2 linked regions of the Cricetulus griseus genome follow. The protein of the gene in region 1 purifies or fractionates together with the protein of each later gene. This does not show direct contact. Links are inferred from orthologs where the notes say so. Each region holds a gene or a part of one and is shown on either strand. Other genes may lie near its edges. The genes, in order: Pja2 and Mob1a.

Region 1 (3,822 bases):
GTGTGTGTGTGTGTGTGTGTGTGTGTGTGTGTGTGTGTGTGTACGAATGCCATGTACTGGTGAGACATGGGTATTTGACTTAATGATCGTGGTGGTGGGTCTTTCGGAAGGGAGCTAAAGGGACAAAAGAGTAACAGAAAAAGAATACGAGAATATGATAAATGTAATTTGATGAGACAGCTTAAAAATAGTTCCCATTACTATTTTAAAGAATCTCCTAACAAAGAGCTATACTTTTCTTTTTCAGACTGCACTGGCACACTTAGAGTCTCTTGCAGTGGATGTTGAGGTGGCTAATCCACCAGCTAGTAAGGAAAGCATCGACGGGCTTCCAGAAACGCTTGTTCTAGAAGATCATACTGGTAAGGCAGGTCAACATTCTCAAGTCTGGGATACCATATTGTGTGCTTTGATGTATTATTGGGGCAACTCAGTGACCAAGTAGTTGATCATTACGTTTTTATAAGAAGCTGACAAACTTCCACCTAGTAGAAAATGCTTAATAAAATATATAGAGACCAAATGTTTACCCGGTCAACTTTTTAAAGAAGTAATGTTTATGACATTCTAAATTAGCATGCTAGAATATGCTTGCCAGTTACTTGATAAAACTGCCTCTTCCATCTTCATAGCCATCACAGTGATTAGTTTTGTTAGCCCTGAACTTCACCTTACGGCTTGATGGATGCGCGTTGTTTGTGTTCTCAGCTATTGGTCAGGAGCAGTGCTGTCCAATCTGCTGCAGTGAGTACATCAAGGACGACATAGCCACAGAGCTGCCCTGCCACCATTTCTTCCATAAGCCTTGTGTCTCCATCTGGCTTCAGAAGGTGAGCTTTAGATGTACTTCCTTAAAATTAACATTTATATAGCTTCTTCTACAAGTAATAATTGTACATTAAGCATATAGTCATAGTATTTCACATTAAAGACTGGCTTCTTTTGTAGAAATTTAGACAACAGTAACTATTTAATATATTTTCATTCATAGCTCTGAAACTGCTTTCAAAAGTATCTCAAAAGATTCTTTTACATCAACCAAAGTACACTGTAATAATAAGAAAGTGTTCTACAAGTGTGCATGGGTGTTGCTGAAAATGTATGAGGAAAGTACAACCAAGCAAATAACCCCTCTCCTGCTTTTTATGTGCCTACGTTAAAGACGTACCAATCATTTGAAGTGTATTTGAGTTACTTTGGAACTAGAGTTTATTTACATCCCATGATCTCTGTTGGCACATGAAGATACTTATCGTCTAGCTCAGTAGAAACCTCTACGTCCTTTCTTGGCATTTTTCTTGTGGTTATAGCTCCCTCTTCTCTATAAACACTCCTACCCAGTCCCCTCTTCTTAGCTCTTTCTCTCCTTTTTTCCTGCTTTATTCTTCACTGTCACTTTATCCTCTTAAAACTGCATTGAAAATCTCTGAGCACTAATGTAGAGATGTTCACTATTCCTTTACAAAGTCTGAAGAATCATTGTTGCTTTTGCCTCCTGTGTTGTGGTTAAGTGTATACTTACTTTCTCATTTGCTAAAGTCTTTATTATTCCTCTGAATCCCTCAGCTGCTGCTTTGCCCTACCTCCAGTAACCAATACTCCTACTTACAGTGGGCAGATTTACATGTTCCCCAGTTGCTGACATTTGTGGGATTGTTTTTTTGCTTTTATTCTCCCACAAAAGGATTCCACAGTCTTTTTTAATACATAATTTTAAAAATTTATTCCTGAGTACTTTTTCTCTGTACAAACTTTAAAATCATTTTACTTATTTGTTTTTCTCTCCCAAAATAATTTGTTTTGGCTGAAATTTATTATTGTGATGGCATTAAATTTATACATTCTGCTGTAGACTTGCTCTGAAATACTTTTAGAGTTGGATTAATGAAACACAAAAATATCCATGAAATGCAGTGTTCTTTTGAGTTGAAGTTGAGAGTTTTATCCCTATTAGTGCTGGCTTTTTCTTTTTAATTTTAAGGTTTTTTAAAACATCCATTGTTTTGGAGATGTGTATATCACACCATGTTGTGAAAACTAGTTTGATATACTAGGAAGCAACCAGGGCCTAGTAAATGTTAAAACATAAATTACATCAATCCTATTAGTAAAAATTAGAGATGGCTTGTTAATAATGAAATGGCAAAAAGAAGCTTAATTTATGGTACAAATTGCAAAGACCTGCCAGCAGACTTCAGTAAACTACATATTAACAAAATGATTGCTAATCAATTAGTGCAAATAATGGGTGTTTGAAGTCTCTTGAGACTTCTGGCATTCCAGGTATTTTGTTTTGTTTTTTTTCTTTAACTGCTTATTTGGCATTGTGTTGATTATAGTATAGATGGCTATATCAAACAATATAATCTGTCTACCTTGAATATAAAGTTGAAATAGTCCATATTGAATTTAACTAATTACCTATAAACAAATAACTGGTATAGTGAGTTAGCAGAAGTTAAGTTAGCATTAAGTAGGAAAGAACGTGTAATCCCTGTGCATGATGGCAGAGGCGATGCAAGAGAGAAGGCATCTCTGAAGTTAGCAGGGAAGCCATGTATGCACCCAAGCTTGTGGTTCATGTCCACTCCTGAAAATCAGGCCAGCCACTTTTACTTCCTTGTCCGTGGTAGTTGCCTACTTTATTCCTCATCTTCATTGTAGGTGTTATCTGAACTGTAGCTCTGCTCATGTTACTTTGCTTGCCCTAATGGGAGAGATTAGGTTGGTTTTCCTTCACTTGCAGAAGAGTGGATTTCTGTCTTGGCTTTCAAGGCTTTCTGTGCTCTAGCCCCCAAGCTGTCTGTTCAGATTTGTTATTCTGTACACTTGGTCATGCTTCTGTACATTTGTTCCTGAAGGCTGACTTCCCTCCGTCCCATCTGTAAGATGAGGTGGTGTAAGTAGAAAAGCTGAGACCTCACCTTTTCTGTCTTGGATACAACGAGCTTTCTTTACACTCTCACTTAGTTACAGAGATTTAAGAAGGACACAGTGTTGTGTCCTCTCGGTTTCAGAAACCAGTAGACGATTCCCCTGTGTTTGCCCACTTTGTCCGCACAAAGGACTGGAAAATGTCATGGTGTTCTAGTCCCTAGACCAGTGATTGTTACCTGGGTTAAGATGATATAGCTGGTCCCGTCCAGGCTAAAACTGCACTCACTTGTATGACAGTGCTGATAGAGGCCATTCATTGTGGCAAGTACATCGTCAGTGTGCTTGGCTTTGCTGTAGCACAGGATAACAACCTAATTTTTGTCCTCTGAGGAAAGAAATTAGTATAAAGCCTCCCCTGGGAAAAAGGTTCCCAAAATGAAATTCTTTGTCACCTTCAACAGCATGGTAGCTTCGCTGCCCTTCCTTCTATCAGAGAGATGCATTTGGGAAAGGCCAGACTTGCAAGGACATGATGTGTCTTCTGTGAGGTGACAGGTCTCTGGGCTTCCATTGGTTTTAAAGCTGTTCTCTTCCCATCTTCTGTCCCAGGTCTGTGGTTAGTTTGTGTTGTTACTTAGAAGGCACATAATTGTCTCTTTTTAGAAAGGGGTTACCTGGCTAATAAAGTAAGGTCTGAAGTCAGTCTGGTTGATCACATCTGTCTACAATAAAGTGAGGCTTTCATGTATGTATATAACAAGGATGGGCCTGATGGGGCTGTAATTTTCTGAGCCAAAATTGTGTGGGGTCTCTTGTATGTGCCTAATAGATAAATTATTGGGTTCAGGTCATTAATAAGCTTACCTGACTGATTTCCATGAGACAATGTACTGATTCGTTGCTCAGCTTTGACCACAGCATCCATGCCAAGCATGGAAGCTGTAA
Region 2 (3,922 bases), on another chromosome or scaffold:
CTGAACTCAAGAACTACACACAGGAGCAACAAGTACTCTTAATTATTAAGCCATCTCTCCAGTATCTCAAGTCATATATATATATATATATATATATATTATGTATATATAAATACATATACATATACACATACATACACACACATATATACATACATACATACACACACACACACACACACACATATATATATATATATATATATATAGAGAGAGAGAGAGAGAGAGAGAGGTGGTCTATGTAGTCCTGGTTGTCCTGGAGCTTGCACTCAGAAGGCAGAGGCAGTTGGATCTCTGAGTTTGAGGCTAGTCTGGTCTACAGATTGAGTTCCAAGATAGTCAGGGCTACAAAGAGAATCTCTTGTATTGAAAAAAAGAGGAAAGATTATAATTAAAAAATGAATAAATAGAATGCAGAGAGGCAGAGGCCGGCAGATCTCTGTGAGTTTGGGGGACATCCTGGTCTATGTAGTGAGTACCAGGACAGTAGGACTACATAGTGAAACTCTGTCTCAAGAACCAGAAAAAGAAAGGAAGAACCATAAACCTTTATCAAGAGATACATTTTAAATCACATACAAATAAAACTGCAGACGTTATAGATGTTAATAAAACAAAAATAAAATGAGAAAGCTTACAGAACAAGCCTGATAACCTGGTTGGACCCCACTCGCCGGCATGGTCCAACTCCTACATGTTTTCTTACACACACACACTCACACACACACACACACACACACACACACACACACACACACACACACACATACAAATTTGTAAACAATGTTTTTAAAAGTTAATAGATGGAGCCCAGCATGGCAGCTCAAGCCTGTAATCCCTGCACTTGGAGGCAGAGGGAGGAGGAGGATCAGGAATTCAAGGTCATCCTCCGCTGTTTACTGAGCTTTTAAAGCATCTTGGGCTATGTCATATCCTATCTCAACAAAGGAGCAACAACAAGAAAGAAAAAAGAAAAGAAAACCAGTTGATAAAATAAAATCGATTAATGCGACAGGGGACATTCGAATGGTTTAAAACCACCAGCAGTTAGAGCGGGGAAAGTACTGGGTCTTTGCCACTGCGCATCCTGTCCCACCATTTATTTATCTCCACAATTTTCTTTCTCCTCCTTTATTTCTACCGTGGTGTCACCTGGTGCCCACATTCTCTTCACGCGCGCAAAGCATGCACATGAACACTCATAGCAGCATTGTAATGCGCGTGCAGACACCACCCTAGTGTCCATCAACAGATGATGTGGCTGCAATAGTATTCCTTCAGAAAAAGAATGAAGCCCTAAATAGCACAACAGTCACCGAGCGGCGCTGGCAGACGTCCCGCAGCCTCGGAATACTTGACCGTAGTGCGGAACTGGCCCCCCCCCCCAGGGCCTTCCCGGGCCCACCGAATACTGATTGGCTGAGCTCAGTAAGGGGCGGAGCGAGGCACCGCGGGGCGGGGCGGAGGAAGCCTAGTCTCGCGAGATCTCGTCGGTTCCGCATTTCGGCTCTCGGAAGTGTGGGAGGCATCTCCGGAGGGCTCCGTGGTCCGTGCTGGTTCGCGGCGGCTGGACTCCCATCCCGCGCCCGGGCCGTGAAGCTTCGGCGGCCCTGCTTAGCCGCGGACCGCCCTCCGCATTCCGGTGCCCGCGGCGGCGCCGAGTCTGACTGGGGCGGGGGCCGCGGCCCCTCGGGCTAGCGAGGATGAGCTTCCTCTTGTGAGTGGGCCGGGCGGGCGGGCCGGGCCGGGCCGGGCGGCCGGGCCGGGCGGGGGGGCTGGTGTCGGCCGGCGGGGCCGCTGCTGAGGGCCCGGCTGAGGGTGCCGAGCGGAGGGCGGGCCTGCGGCGTCGGAAGAGGTTCGCGCCGGAAAACGCGCGGTGCCCCTGGGACTAGACGGGTGCACATACTCCATGGTTTTCCACTGGTTTACGTTTGAGAAGCTGGCCGCCGGCTCCTCGTTATCATGTGGCTTTTCTCCCCCTCCTGTGTCCCAGGCAGCCTCGAACCTGGCGGGCGCCTCCCGCCCCAGCCTTCCGAGGCCACCAGGACCGGCCTGCTCTAAACGGGGGTCGTTTGGAGTCAGGGCTGGCCTGGGATTCAGAGCTCCACCTGTCTCTGCCTCCGGGGTGCTGGGATTTTTTTTTTTTTTTGAATGTGGACGCTTTAACGTCTGCCCCAAATGTGAATCTTTTTTTTTTTTTTTGTCTTTTTAAAGGTTTTTAGTTTATGAGAACTTCATAGATGCGGTTGTTTTTCCATCATATCCACCCTTCTCTCCAGTGCCCTCTCATTTTCCTTTAAAATTCATGTTCTCGTCTGTATTTTTAATATGTGTGTAAACACACAGAGTCCAGTTAGTGTTGCCTGTATGTACTTGGGTGTAGAGCTGACCACTCAATCATGGGCAGCGTAGTTGAGCTTGTCCGTGAGAAAAACCTGACTTCTTGTGGACGGTAGCTCTTCACCTAGGTGAGGTAAATGTGACTATAGCTTAAGCTGACTGAAATATTAGTGTTTTGCACTTTTTGGCTATTCTGAATAACGCTGCTGTGAACATCTGGTTACAGGTTTTTGGGTGTGTGTGTGTGTGTGATATCTCCCGGGTATGAAGAGTGAATTGTTACATGTTAGTCTTTTGAGGCACTGTCAAGCTTTTTAAAGCCCCGCACTGCATGTTACTTCCCTACCTCACTGTATGAGTTTTCAAACTTCTCCACTTCACACCTGTCTTGTCAATTGTCTTGTTATTCTTGAGTATAAAGTAGAATCTCTTGGTTTACATTCTCCCAAATGACCAGTAATATTGAGCATCGTTGTGCGTGTATTTTCATGCTATTTGAGGATAAATAAAGTCTTTTGGTATCCTTTTCCTATTTTAATATCAGATTGTTTTTATTTTGTTAACACCTGTTAACTGTACAGATTAGTTGGGTTTACTGTGACATTTCCATATGTGTATATATGGTACAGTGTTTATGTCCATCTGTCTTTTTGGTTTGAGTTGTAAAAATTCTTCATATATTTGAGTGTCTTATCACATCTATGACTTAAAAATGGTTTCTTCCTCTGGATTATTTAACTGTCTTGATGCCATCATTTGAAGCATACTATATTTTTTAAAAGATTTAGTTACTTTTGTTTCTTTGGGACAGGGTCTCATTATGTAGGTAGCTCTGCCTGTCCTAGAATTCACTATGTAGATCAGGCTGGCCTCAAACCCAGAGATCTGCCTGCCTCTCCCTCTAGAGTGTTGGGATTAAAGATGTATACCATTATGCCTAGTTTAAATTTTTTTACTTTTTGTATGTGTTTTGTCTGCATGTATGTGTATCATCTGCATCCAGTACCCATGAATGCCAGAAGAGGGCATCAGATTTTGTTGTGGAATATTAGTTGAAGATGTGTTACATTTGTTTCTGCTGTGGAACATTTGTTTGATGATGCAAAAATGTGTTAATCCTTTTATGTTGCATTTGTTTAACTCTGTGAAGCTGTTTTAATTTTCCTGTCTAAAACACCTAATTGGTCCATTAAAGAGCTGAAAGGCCAGTTGCCAGACAGGAGAAAAGATAGGTGGGGCTGCCAGGCAGAAAGCATAAATAGGAAGAGAAATCTAGGTTCAAGAGAGGAGGGAGGAGACTGAGGGAGGAGATTCTCAGCTAGCCACACAGCCAGACAGGGAGTAAGAAGTAAAGAAAAGATACACAGAAATAGAAAAAGGTAAAAGCCTAGAGGTAGAGGGGCTAATTTAAGAAAAGCTAGCTAGAAATAAGCCAAGCCAAGGCTGGGCATTAATAAGTAAGAATAAGTCTCCGTGTATTTATTTGGGATCTGGGTGGTGGCCCCCTAAAAGAGTAAAGAGTAATAAAAACCATCTACAAGATCCCTTAGAACTTAAGTTGTGGATGGTTGTGAGCCACCAT

The links.
Region 2: the proteins of Pja2 (region 1) and Mob1a purify together in Homo sapiens (affinity purification with western blotting; 3 studies listed by BioGRID). This does not show direct contact. The link is inferred for Cricetulus griseus from reciprocal best matches to the Homo sapiens genes PJA2 and MOB1A.

Annotation. Positions count from the first base shown.
Region 1 is NC_048595.1:453,414,632-453,418,453, reverse strand, and holds part of Pja2 (E3 ubiquitin-protein ligase Praja-2), read left to right. Parts: intron 1-247; coding exon 248-362; intron 363-708; coding exon 709-830; intron 831-3,822.
Region 2 is NC_048601.1:74,788,230-74,792,151, reverse strand, and holds the start of Mob1a (MOB kinase activator 1A), read left to right. Parts: upstream 1-1,496; 5' UTR 1,497-1,703; coding exon 1,704-1,717; intron 1,718-3,922. UniProt on the Homo sapiens protein: Activator of LATS1/2 in the Hippo signaling pathway which plays a pivotal role in organ size control and tumor suppression by restricting proliferation and promoting apoptosis.